Cricetulus griseus: one gene and its partner. The protein of the gene in region 1 purifies or fractionates together with the protein of each later gene. This does not show direct contact. Links are inferred from orthologs where the notes say so. Each region holds a gene or a part of one and is shown in the gene's direction. Other genes may lie near its edges. The genes, in order: inhibitor of Bruton tyrosine kinase and Rpp25l.

What was found.
Region 2: the proteins of inhibitor of Bruton tyrosine kinase (region 1) and Rpp25l purify together in Homo sapiens (co-immunoprecipitation; 3 studies listed by BioGRID and IntAct, with this or other methods). This does not show direct contact. The link is inferred for Cricetulus griseus from reciprocal best matches to the Homo sapiens genes IBTK and RPP25L.

The regions. Positions count from the first base shown.
Region 1 is NC_048597.1:195,936,736-195,943,932, reverse strand, and holds part of inhibitor of Bruton tyrosine kinase, read left to right. Parts: intron 1-5,084; 5' UTR 5,085-5,441; coding exon 5,442-5,765; intron 5,766-7,197. UniProt on the Homo sapiens protein: Acts as an inhibitor of BTK tyrosine kinase activity, thereby playing a role in B-cell development. Down-regulates BTK kinase activity, leading to interference with BTK-mediated calcium mobilization and NF-kappa-B-driven transcription.
Region 2 is NC_048595.1:100,886,887-100,893,594, forward strand, and holds Rpp25l (ribonuclease P protein subunit p25-like protein), read left to right. Parts: upstream 1-2,414; 5' UTR 2,415-2,451; coding exon 2,452-2,583; intron 2,584-2,599; exon of another isoform or gene 2,600-2,792; intron 2,793-2,998; coding exon 2,999-3,523; 3' UTR 3,524-3,796; downstream 3,797-6,708. Other genes in the region: Dctn3 (dynactin subunit 3), read left to right, coding at 527-586, 752-841. UniProt on the Homo sapiens protein: May be a component of ribonuclease P or MRP.

The DNA.
Region 1 (7,197 bases):
CTGTTCTTTTACCTCGAAGTAAGACATTTGAAGAAATTCGTCAGACATACTGAAAAGAGTGGTGGTGCCTTAAAAGATTACATTTTTTTTTTTTCGTTTTTAAATAGTGTTGCTACCTCCCTAATGCAAATTCGCAGGCATTTTTGGTCAGTGCCTCACTTCCTTGTTGAAATATTTTGATTTGTTTTTTATTGTGTTAGACCTACTTCATGGTAAATGTGGAGACAGAACTTTTTTTTTTTTAAACGTGTTTTCTAAAAAAGTGTTTGCAAAACTTTAGTCATATCGCAGTTTGAAGAAAAAGGTTGGCTATGTTGGTTTTCACTTTTAATAAAACTTTTTTGAAGGACTTTCGGTATGCTAATTTTTGTGTGATGATTTCACTTCCTTCTTAACTTTCAAGATGCTTCTGGATTGTAAACTTCTAGACTGAATGAGTGTACTTACTAAAGGATGTCGGTATGACTTGTTACTTTCAGTGACACAAATTAGTTTCTTATTACGGGGGACTACTGCTTTGCCACATCCGGATGCACTTATTGCCCCCTAAATTTTGGGCAGATTTTCTTTTATGAAAACGAGATAGATACTGACCTAAACTAAGTTTCTAGGTCTTTTACACAGAGAATATTTGAGAACGATATGAATTACAGTATCAATAGAACTAAATTATTTAAACCATTGTAAGTGCTTATTTTTAAAAATGTGTTTAGGTTTATAAAAACTTTTCTCTGATTATGACTTGTAATCTGCAGCTTGTAGCACTTACATTAATAAAGATACAGGTGTACAGGGGAGGTGTTTTGGTGTTAAAGAGCTCAGTGAAAACAGTCCTGCTTACTGATTGTGAAAATTAAGAGGAAGTATAACGTGCTTCCCTCCCATCCTGCAAGGACACATGTCAGCAAGGCATGTATCTCCAAGGGAGGTCATTGTCAGTAGCTCACAAAGGAAGAAATGGAGGAATAGGGACCTCGAGTCACTTGTCTATGGTTCTAGGTGTAGCAACCCCAAGGACAGTTTTTCTTGACTACACAGTGTTATATCCTATTGACATTCCTAAATGTTGTCTGAGAGCCAGTTGTTTAACAAGTGCCATCCAGGGCACTCCTCTCTCTGTATGATTTTTAGGTAGGCTACTTGTTTCCTCATGGTAAGGTAGTCATATTTATAGTCACTAGTAGGGTTGAAATGAGACTTCGTTACTTTAGGTAAAGCTCTGTATGTACATGTCCATATGAAAGTTCAAAAGATGGTAGATACTATTTTATAAGCACTGAAACGTAGCCTTTTAAAGATTTGGTTGACAAGTATTTCAAAAAGAAAGGGTCCTAATATAGTATAGATGTTTTCTGACTTATTTACCAAGATGTCTTAGAACAGGTCAAGAGATACCTTTAAATCTCCTTTTTACAAGTGAAAATATTGAAACTTAGAGAAAGTAAGTGGTATGTTCAGGGTCCTTAGGTAGTTATGTACTTGCCTTAACTAGCTTGGGTGTTCTGAATTCAGAATCTGAGCATTGTGTATTCTATTACACAGTCTTAGTTACTGTTCTGCTATTGTGAAACACCATGTCCAAAGTGACTTATAGACAATATTGAATTGTTATTAGCGTGCTTACAGTTTCAGGGTTAGTCCTTGATATTTTGACAAGGAGCATTGGCAGCAGGCATGCTGGCATGGCTCTGTAGCAGTAGTTCAGAGCTCAAGTCTGATCCTCCAAATAGAGGCAGAGAGACAGAGACACTGAGACTGGGCCTAGTGTGGGCTTTTGAAACTTCAAAGCCCACCCCCAATGACATACCTCTAACAAGGCCACACTTTCCCAACATAGCCACACCCTAACTCTGTTCAACTAAGTGAGGACCAGACATTAAACATTGGATCTTTTGGGGGCATTATCATTCATACCACCACAAATACCTGTGCCCATCTGAAACTCTACCTGGGCTTCCAACGGTATTTTTTTTCTTGTTTGAGAATTTCTTACATGCATATAGGGTCTTTTGATTAAACCTACTTTCCATTTCTTCCCCTCCAGTTCCTTCTCACCACTGTTCTCTTCCATTTTAATATCTTAAAAACAAACAAACAAACAAACTCACTTAGGCCACTTAATGCTGCCTGTATGTGTATGGGTGTAAGGCCATCTACTGGAGCATGGGTAGCCTCTCAGGAGCCACACCCCTGATGAAAGTGACTTTCTCCTATCAGCCATCAATTATTAGTAGCTCCTCAGCTAGGGAAGTGACTTCATGATTGCCTCCCTGCCCCATGCTAGGATTTTGTCTGGCTTTATCATGTTCATGCAGTCACAGTGGCTATGAGTTCATATGTGCAACCATCATGTTGTGTTCAGAAAATCACTGTTTTGCTGTATACTTCCTCTGGCTCTTAAATTATTTTATCTAGTCATCCACAATGCTCCCTGAGCCTTGGGAAGATGATCCAGAAACCTCATTTGGAAGTGAACATTCCACAGTCTCTTAAATGCTGCATGCTGACCTGCCCCGTGGCTCTCTGTGTTCATCACTATCTACTACTAAAAGATGCTGTGATGAAGGTTGAGAGATGCAGTGATCTATGGATATAATGAGAAGTCCTTAGAAGTCGGTTAAATGTTATTCTCATTTAGCAGAATAATAGTAGTAGATTCTCTGCTAGGGCCTATGACCTACCCAACCATTAATTGGCCCCATTAGTGGTGCCACATATGAGCTCCGTCTTATGAAACAAGCAATAAGTCCAATCAGAAAGTGTTTACTCCATAACATGTGTGCCACTATTACAACAGTGAACATATCTTGTCAGACTGGTTGTTGTAGTTCACAAAGTTCAGATGGGTAAGATTGTTGATTTAACTGTTAGTTAAAGCTGTTTTTAACATGTGAGACATTGTTTTTTTGTTTGTTTGCTTGTTTTTCCGCTTTCTTTTGTTTGGGATATATTAAGGGAGTAGGTGATTAGATTAGTTAAAAAATATAATTATACTCTTAATTATTGATGGATATAAGGCCAGTGAACCGTTGTTCAGGACTCAATGTTGACTGGCTAAAATCTTTGTGGTGGGACAGTCATTGGGGTTGAACCATTGCCAGTAGCTAAGCTGGCTAGCTATGCTTTGCCAGCTCAGTTTCTCTTCAGCATTTCATATGTATGTCATGTATAAGACAAAGTTTGATTTGTAATTTGTTTGTGCATTATTTACTACTGTGATAAGACATCATGACCAATACAACTTGTAAAAGAAGAGGTTTATTTGAGGTGATAGTTTCAGAGGGTTAGAGTCTATTATCATGGCAGAGCAAAAGCATGGTGGGAAGAATAGCTGAGAGCTAGCTCACATCTTTATCTGCAAGTAGGAGGCAGAGAGAGACAGTGGGAGTGGCTAGAGTCTTTTGAAACTTATAAACTGGTTCCCAGTTACATGTCTTTTCTGAGGCACACCTCATAATCTTTCCCAAAATGGGTCCACCAACTGGGGACCAATTATTAAAAAAATACAAATATGTGGGCCATTCCCATTCAAACCAGTATAGCTTGCTATGTTTGTTTCTGATTCCCTTACTTTTTTTTTTTTTTTTTTTTAATTAGCCCATCACCGAAGCCAGGAGCCTTGCCATTTTAGGATTTGGTGAAATGTCCACTTCAAGCACAAAATGCTCTCTAATATCTAACCCACCCTGATGTGGAACATGCAAGAGTGGGGTGGGTTTTAGAGCTTTGGAAGAACAAAATTAATGAGTTGACTATTTTGCTATATATTGTGCTTTTAGTTTTAACATTTTTTAAAAAGACTTATTTATTACCTATGAAGTATTCTGCGGGCCAGAAGAGGGTACCAGATCTCATTACAGGTGGTTGTGAGCCACCATGTGGTTGCTGGGAATTGAACTCAGGACCTCTGGAAGAGCAGTCAGTGCTCTTAACTACTGAGCCATCTCACCAGTCCTAGTTTTAGCATTTTAAACTACTGAAGGCATTGGTTCCTTTTTCTTGGTGCCATTTAAATGCCAAAGACTTTTATTCTTTTCTTTTAGTTTCAAACTAAGATTTTTGAAGTAGGTGGGTTTTTTGTTTGTTTGTTTGTTTGTTTTGTTTTTGTGGGAGTGTGTTCAATTAAAAACTGTATAGGTTTGCAGAAACAGACCTGGAGTTAGAATTAGAATTCAAGTAGTTCATTGCTCTCATCAGAATAGTCAGTGTCAGAAAGCCAGTTCCATGTAAGACTTCTGACTTTGATTGGGGTTTCAGGTGGGTATGGAAATAACATATCTAGACTCTTCGATATTTGTATCTAATATACTGGTTTCCACTGTACACACAGTGCACTTGTGCCTCACTCTAAAGAGTCTTGTAACTGTTTTGTTTGTTTGTTTTTTGTTTTTTGTTTTTGTTTTTGTTCCCAAAGAATAGATAGCAAGGAAAGGTTTTCACCCTACAAAGGAAAGGTTTACATACTATGTATTAGGGAAGGAAGATTTTCCTTTTTTTTTGTCTTTAACATTTTATATAGTTTTACTAGTTGTATTGAATCTCATCATCATTTTATACTTTGAGATTTCAGATCACACTTTCTGTGCATGGTGATTATAAACTAATTTGTATGTTTTCATGGCTGCATTTTTGTCTTTGTAAACCATCTAGAGTTTATATTAATATAGGTATAAAGTGTCAAAAATTATTTTTTCCAGATAGCTTTTCAGTTTTTCTGATACTCTTAGTTTAATTATTTCCCCCAATGACAAGAGGCCATTCAGGTGAGCAGACACATTGTCTGCCATGAAGTAAACCAGAGTAATGGGTTGTTTTGGTAATGGTTATGATGTAGTTTTTGGGGGTGGCCCGTTGGAAGACATTCTCTTGAAGATAATAGATGTGAAAGTGTTTGTAGCTTCTGGGGATGTAGCTTATAGAGTTTAAAGGTAGAGGAGGCAGTGAAAGAGACCAACATAGAAAGGTTAATAGCCTTTTTTTTTTTTTTAATGAATGAAAGGCATTTAGATGTGGAGCTATTTACATTGTAAAGTACTTCAAGAGAGTTAGATTTGTAATTTCGCTTTTCCTTTGTTTTCTTACAGGTCACCCTCGCAATTATGGATATTTGAAAGGCTCAGACGGTGTGGAGGGGGAGTTCCCCTCCTCACTCCCCCTTGGTGCTTGACTCTAGGAATAATTTCTAAACTGGGATTTTTTTTTAAATGAAGAACTTGTATTTGATATGAACTTTATAGAACTATTTATAACTTTTTGATTGAAGTGCCAAAAGATTATACAAAGATATATAGTTTTATATAATTGTTGTGACTATTTAAATACCCCAAAGGGTCATATCTTCTTGGTAATTCTTCTGAATATTATCTTTGGGTCCTATCTTTTTCATTTTTAAAATTCACTTCAGTGACTCTTCTGAAGGAGTAAGCAATACAAAAGCAATTATGATGGATTCTGCCACCCCTGACTGCACATCAAAATGCCGATCGCTGAAGCATGCTTTGGATGTCCTTTCTGTGGTAACAAAGGGGAGTGAGAACCAGATCAAGGCCTTCCTCTCCAGTCACTGTCACAATGCTGCAACTGTCAAGGATGCCTTTGGTAGGAATGCCCTGCACCTGGTCTCCTCCTGTGGGAAGAAAGGAGTGTTAGATTGGCTTATTGAGAAAGGAGTGGATTTGCTGGTGAAAGACAAGGAGTCAGGCTGGACAGCATTGCACAGGAGCATTTTTTATGGACATATTGATTGCACTTGGTCTCTGTTGAAGGTAAGTGTCAGTTTATCTAAAACTGACATTCACTTTTCTTTTCTTTTTCCTTTTTATTGAAAATGTACTCTCTCTCTCTACACACACACAAACTTTTTTTTTCTTTTCCTCCTACCTCCTCCCCATCTCCACTTCCATCCAGATCCACTTCCTTTCTGTCTCTGATTAGAAAGTAAACAAGCCACACCTTTAATCTAGGTTAATGCCTTTATTACCAGCACTTGGGAGACAAAAGCACCTAGGCAGATCTCTGAGTTTGAGGCCAACCTGGTCTACATTGTGAGTTCTAGGATAGCCAAAGCTATACAGTGAGGCCCTGCCTTGAAAAAAATACCAAAAAAGAAGGAAGGAAGGAAGAAAGAAAGAAAGCAAGCAGGCTTTTCTAGGATAATAATAAAATGAAGTATAATAAGATAAAACAAAAACTAACACATTGCAATTGAACAGAACAAATTGAAGGAAAAGAGCCCAAGAAAAGGCACAAGAAACAGAGAACTACTGGTTTCCACACTCAGGAGTCCCATAAAAAATTGCTAAACTGTAATCCATATTATATACATAAAGGACCTGTAGAGTAAAAAGATAGAAAAAATATAAGATAAATAAAAGTAAAGAATAGGTAAAATTTAAAAAAAAAATGTTTGGATATAACATTATAAGACAAAGAATCTCCAGTGTTGCCATTGAGTTTATTTTCTTTTGGCTATCTGCTGGACGCATAGCCTGCACTTAGGAGTAGTTTCTTTCCCCAGTGAGACTCCCTTGGAGAAAACTAAATTTGCAGGTGGTTGTCAATTGGAGTATAGCTTCTGGGTTAGGGGTGGGGGCATGTGTCTACTCCTCCTTTCAGCTCTGGACCCCCTCTGGTATTGAGTGTTGCAGGCTCAGTGCACGTTGCCCCAGTCTTTGTGAGTTCAGATGTATTTCAGTCCTGTTGTCTAGAAGGTCATGGTTCCTTGGTGTCCTCTGTCTTCTCTGGCTCTGACATTCTTTTCACCTCCTCTTCCACAGGATTTCCTGAACCCCGAGGGGAGGGATTTGATGGATCTATCCCATTTAGGGCTGAGTGTTCCAAGACCTCTCACTCTCTGCATATTGTCTGGCTGTGGGTCTTTGTATTTATTTCTATCTACTGCAGGAGGAAACTTCTCTAATGATGGCAGAGCAAGGCACACTGATCTGCTTCTGTAGCTGGAGTTTAGGCATGTGATTTTCTTAATCTATTTCATGTTGCATTTTCTAAGAGAAGTTTATATGTGTTTGATACTGTTACTGTTATAACTCATCTTTAGATTTAAAGTACCATAGATCTTATTTACTTATATGTTTTATGTAAAATTTCAAATATACATCAAAGCTCCCAACATATAATAATGAGCTGTTGTGCAATTTTATGTTGTGTGCACAGTATGTTATGTGCGCTGTATGTTAG
Region 2 (6,708 bases), on another chromosome or scaffold:
CAGAGGATCTGATGTCCTCTTTTGGTCTTTTGGGTACACACACACACACACACACACACACACACACACACACACACACACACACACACACACACGGAAAACACCCTAACAAATAAACTGAAAATAAATCATTAAAAACATAGGGACAGCGGGTGGTGGTGGCACATGCTTTTAATCCCAGCACTCAGGAGGCAGAGACAGGCAGATCCAAGGCAGCCTGGTCTACAGAATTGAGTTCCAGGACAGGCTCCAAAGCTACACAAAGAAACCCTGTCTTGAACAAGCAAACAAACAAACCATAGGGACAGAAGAGGAGGGGATCCTAATGTGTAGAAACCGCCCCTCCAGTTACTCTTTGGGCTGCTGTTCAGGGCACCTGACCTAGGATTGGAAGTGCCTGTTTTGCAGTTTTCTCCTTTCGCTCTAGGTTATTTAAGCACCATCTTTTTTTAGGTTTGGAGGGAAGGAGTTCAGTGGGAGATGAGGCATTATTCCACTCCTTTCTAAGCTATGCTTTGGCCTACAGGACCAGTGTATGGAGATCAGTGAGGAGTCCAAGGCTCTCCTGGAGGAATATAACAAGACTGTATCTTTTGTGCTTAATGGGCCCTCTCCCAAAGCCTGTTTCTGCTGCCCCTAATGCGCCCATCCCATTCTCTCCTCTCCTCTCCTGCCTTCACCGCTTTGGGCACATGCCAAATCTCTGTGCTTCCTCATTCACACTCCTGTTGTCACCTTGACTTCTGACCAGACAATGCTTCTCTCCAAGCAATTCGTGCAGTGGGATGAACTACTCTGCCAGCTAGAGGCTGCCAAGCAAGTGAAGCCAGCAGAAGAATGACAGTTGCTTACTGTGCCAGGCCAGGGAAAGGGGGGCCAGCTCCAGGGCCCTGTGCCACCCTGTCTTTGTGAGGCAGAGACAGCTTTGTATTTATTCAATTCAAAGACTACCTGTCTGCTCAGTTGGGGCTCTGAGGTCAGAGATCAGGTTACCTTAGAGTCATGATTTGCACTCCCCATCAGTGTATTTATTCCAATGACAATAAACTGTAGCTACCGCTGAAGGTGTGTTTTGGCTTGCTGATCTAAGATGGGCTTGGCTGTGAGAACTGGAATGGTGAAGGGGAGAGCTGTCACTATCAGGGTGGGACCTGGAACTACTCCTGGTCGAGCTTCTGAAAGATGTAGTACTCTTGCATCTGATTGATACAGTGGGGCATTGTATATTTATCCCACATTTTCCAACTGCCCTCTAAATATCAGATCCTACGGCACGTAAGGAGGGCACAGGTAGGGTCACCTCATTTCTGTATAGGGTTTGGGGGAAGACCAAGAAAGTGGTAGTCCTACCAGGTGGGGCTCAGCATGCCAGGATGATCATGGAGGAACAAGCAGGGACGTTCAGAGCCAAGGCAGCATAGCCTTGTGTCTACCGAATACCAGAAGAGGAGCCAAGAGGCTTGGATGCAGTGAATTTTAGGATCTGGGAAGGAGGAGCAGATGATGGGAAAGCTTGGATGAACAGTTTAAGCACCGCGCTCCACCAAGTGTATGCTGCCCTCTTGTGGCCTGAGGGAGTGCCTCGGCTCCTTCAACTGCCTGTAGACCAACCAATTTGTAGTTTTGCTGGCACGCAAAATGCAGCTTGTCCAAAACGATCTGAAACTAGCAGTCATCCTAGACTATTCCAACAAATAGTTCCCGGCTCTTTCCCAGAACTTCCTACGAGTTTTTACCAAGTTAATTAATCTCTTCTCAATTCTTGCCATTTCGGTGGTTAATCAACATGTTGGACAGATGTTGCAGAACCTGTTTCACTCTGAGTACTGTACTAGGTTCCGTGGGCACCCTCCTACCCCCGCGCCTGACGCGTTATGATGGTGCAGGGTACAGACCCTTCCCAAGGTCACGGTATCTGTTGCCCCCACTACCGGATCCTCCTAGCCTATACGCCAATCTATGGCCAATGAGTTGTGCACAAGTTATGGCTTAGTCCCTTCTGAAGACTACCAGGGTTGTCCAGTGCCCCAGGATGAGAACAAAGCTCAGAACTAAGGGTCTCGCCCGCTTGTATCCACCAATGCTTCAGCTTCTCCTTCACCGATGCGGTGAGTCAACAGGTGACGCGCACCATCCATCGTTTAAGGGCACAGATTCGCATTCTTCATGCTCAGGACTCCTCCGATAGCCATTCCTCTCCCGGGCAGGGCCCTCTGCGGGTTCTGGCGTGCTTCGGCATCACCGCGGACCGCGGGATGCGGGCCAGCTGCGGGTACCAGCTCAGCTGAGCCCAACGGCGTCCCGGGTTTCCCTCAGGCCCCGCCCCCTGCGTGCGCGCTCCCGCGGCCCCGTGCGCTCCCGGTCTGCGCGCCATCTTGGGTCGAGCGTGGACGGGCGGTAGTGGTAAGAGCCAAATCCCAGGGCCTGGGTACTCAGACGTGGGGAAAGGGGATGTCTGCTGCCTGGGACAGCGGCCCACGACCGGGGAGCCCGCCAGACCGTCCATGTTTGGTCCGAGCAGTGGTCTGTGCGAGCCCCCACTCTCGAGTTCCCGAATGGCCTGGCTCAAGCCCCCCAACCCTGGTAATCTAAGGATGAAGTCTACTCAGCCGGCCGAGAGCCCGGAGGGGCCGGTTCTTTCTTTAGGGAGTACTTTGTGAGAGTTCGTGGCTGTGCCCCAGGCAGCCTGGGGCCAAGTCTTGATTCTGTTTCCTGGAAGCACACAGTGAGAGGAGCTTGTCCGAGTCCTTGGAAGCCTAGTGAGGAAAGGCTCCTGTTTTAGAGAGTTGTGGGTGAGGAGGGGTCTGGCCTAGCCCTGAAAAGCTTGAGCTGATGAAGCATGGCCCTATCCCGGATAGCCTGGTTTGGGGAGTGGGGGGAGTTTGGTTCTTTCCGTGTGTAAGACTCTCCAGCCTTGGGGTGAGGGGTATATCCTGGAGGGAGTGATGGAGGATGGACCTGGTCATAGTCCTGACACTCATCTGACCGCTTCCCCCAGTGCACAGCAAGAGAGATTCACCAAGGCCACCGGAGCAGAATGGAACACTACCGGAGGGCTGGCTCTGTAGAGCTCCCAGCATCTTCACCAATGCCCCAGCTACCTCCTGACACCCTGGAAATGCGAGTCCGAGATGGGAGCAAAATCCGAAACCTGCTAGGACTGGCTTTGGGTCGTTTGGAGGGGGGGAGCACAAGGCATGTGGTGTTCTCAGGCTCTGGCCGGGCAGCTGGGAAGGCTGTCAGCTGTGCAGAGATTGTCAAACGGCGGGTCCCAGGCCTCCACCAACTCACCAAGCTTCGTTTCCTGCAAACTGAGGACAGCTGGGTCCCAACCTCACCAGACACAGGCCTAGACCCCCTCACAGTTCGACGTCACGTGCCTGCAGTGTGGGTGCTACTCAGTCGGGACCCCTTGGACCCCAGTGAATGTGGCTACCAACCCCCGGGAGCGCCCCCAGGCCTGGGCTCCATACCTAGCTGTGGTCCCAGACCCCGAAGAAGGGCTCGGGACACCCGGTCCTGAAGACCTGCTGAGCCTGACTGTACTCTAGACCTGATTCTCTGTGCCTTCTGTAAGAAGGGCTTGTGTGACACTTAACATGCCAGCAAGGCTTGAGTCCACTGGAGTCCTGCCTCCCCTCCCCCCTGGGATGCGGGATGCTATGAAGAATGAAGGGCATATGGGGTCAGTGCTGAGTTACAGACTGCTTGAGAAGGGCTTACTCTGTCTACAGTATATCTGACTTGCCTTTTTTGACATCAGTCTAGGAGAGGGAAATAAAGGTCATGCCCATTTGTTTGGCCTGCTTGTGTGTAAGTGGGATTGGAGGGGTGTGAGGCCCGCCTTGCCCCGGAGCTCATGGCCTGGAGGCCAGAAGGGTAGGTAGAGGCCGCTGCTGGGTGGATCTGGTGTCAATACATTTCAAGCAGTCACCTGCATGACTTTTTGCCACCTGCTTTAAGCTGGCTTGGGACTCAACCAGGTCAGGCATTTCTCCCATCTGTGTCATATGTTTTAGAATAGTGGGATCATGAACTCGGGCTTTGCCTGTCACGGTTTTAGTCCTGGCTCTCCCACTCACAAGTTACTGCTTTGTAGTTTTGGATAAAGCTACTTCCTGGACCTTTGTGCTCCCATCTGTAAAATGGGGTGTAGAGGGTTTACCTCATTGGCATTCTTTTTTAATAATTTATGTTCATTGGTGTGAAGATGACAGATTTCCTGGAGCTGGAGTTACATACAATTGTGAGCTGCCATGTGTGTGCTGAGAATTGAACCCAGGACCTCTGAAACAGCAGCCAGTGCTCTTAACTGCTGAGCCATCTCCAGTCCGCCCCCCCCCCATTAGAGTTCTTATAAAGAGGTGTCCATATTTGACACTCAGATACCACCTGAGCACCTGATGCTATATAAATGTTGTAAGTGACTTAAGTTTACAGACATGCTGTTTTTTATCTTGAAAGTAGACCTCAATCCCACATCTTTCTTTGGGTGTCATTCTTGCCTTTTTTCCATTGCTGTTTTTTTCTGCCTCACTTTGGCCTTGGATTCAGATTTACTGCAGGTATCTGAAGAGAGAGAATGGTTATATTGGTAGTCAGCAGGCTCCAGGTAATAGAGTGGAATTGTAAGCGGCAGTGGTCTCAAGAGTTGATCAGCTACACTGTGAATCAAGATTTTCTCCAGGGTGTCTAGTAACCTGGATGTCCAATTACACGCAAATAAAACTGGGGCTCTGTTGGGTTCATGTAGCAGGATCCAGCTAGTTGAAGGTGTTAGGCAGTTTTTCTCAGTCTGGGCAGGAGAGATTGGCATGATGGGAAAAAGTTGGGGAAATTCAGGACTTGATATGGGCTTCAAGGAGGGATGAGTGACCATAGGACCATGGAACTGTGGCCTGAACTTTAAACACTACATCCTTTGCTTTCCAAGGTAAGCTGTCCCTCAGTGAGAAGGGGCTTGAGGGAAAGGGGCAAGTCAGGATATTGGGAGAGGTGAAATCTCGGTAGCTACTCTACCAGACCCTTTAAATACAGAGGATCCTGAAACAGGTAACATAACTGCTGAAGACAGTTAAACTGCCGTGCCGTGTTATACTGCCAACAACTGCCTGACCTCTTCAAGCTTTTAGCTAAAGACTCTTCGGCTTCTACCAACTACTCTCTTCAACGAGTGTGTCACCATGCCCTGCTCTGAATATCTTCACTGTGTATATTTTGTTGTCAGAACTTTGGGCCACATTTCCTTATAGGTTATTGATAAATTTTGTTGTTTTGGGGTTTTGTTTGTCTGTTTTTTGAGACAGGGTTTATCTGTGTAGATTTGGAGCCTGTCCTGGATCTCACTCTGTAGATCAGGCTGGCCTCAAACTCACAGACATCTTCCTGCCTCTGCTTCCCAAGTACTGGGATTAAAGGCGTGCGCCACCACTGCCCGGCAGGCTATTGATATTTTTTTGACCTAGCATCTCATCCTGATCACTTTGCTTTGGCAGGTTGAAGAGATTGCATGTAATAAACACAATAGCTAAGTTGGAGGGGCGATTCAGGATAACTATGAGCTCTGGAGATCAGAAAGGGACTCCCAATTGGGCTGCTTAAATAGAAACCACCTGAGAGTTCCAGAATGAGTGTGGAGGAGTGTAGAGGGAAGCACCTGTGGTAAGAATCCCTTGAGAGAACAGGTTCTAGGGTGCTTTCCCTAACCTTTGGCACCTAGAGAGTCTGCCTGGCTCTGACATCTTCAGGAGGAATGCCCCAGAGGGAACCAGAGATGAAGCCTGGGAAGTGAGCTCAAGCTTAGGAGAGAACCTGAGGGTTGTACATGGTTCTTTACGTCCCCATTTCTCCTTAATCCACTGTAATGTGGTTCCTGCTTCCATAATGCCTTTAAAAAGCTTTCCCTGGGGACAAAAGGTAAGGAGATGTGGGGATATCCCTTTCAAAAAGTAGAATAGAGCTGGGGAATTAGCACAGCAGTTACGAGCTCTGCTCTTCCAGAGTACCCAGGTTCATTCCCAGCAGCTACATGGTAGTTTACAACCAACTTTAACTGTAGTCCTAATGAGATCTGGTGCCCTCTTCTGGGGTGCAGATGTACAAGCAGATGAAACACCCATATACATAAATAAGAAAAACAAAACAAACCACCTGTTCAATTCCTGGGACCCACCATGCAGCTCACAACTGTCTGCAACTCCAATCTCACCCTCTTGTGACCTCAGCAGGCACCAGGCACACATGTGGTTCACAGACATACATGTAGGTGCAGAGGTCAGCGAGATGGCTCACAGGATGGACTCTCATCACCAAGCTTAACCTGATTTCAATCCCAGAACCCATGTGGAAAAAGAGAGCTGACTTCCACGAGTTTCCCTGGCCTCCTTGCAAATGCACACACAGGCAAATTTAAAAAATGTAAGTAGGAACAAAGATGACTTCCTGTAACAGAAGGGAAAGAGTTGAGGGCAAGCAAGCGTGCAGACGGTGTGGAGGCGACAGTGGGATATGGGAGTTCAGAAGTCCTTTGATCATGAAGCAAGAGTTATTAAACACGGATGGGAAGCAGTCGGGGAGTTTGAATAGTTGTAACAGAGAGATGACATGATCTACCAAGGCTATAAGCCCAGTGTGCGCTGACGACTGTGAACTTGGAGTTTCAGTAGCAGAATGTGGGCTCCAGAAGCATCCACAAGCTAGGGGAGGCTG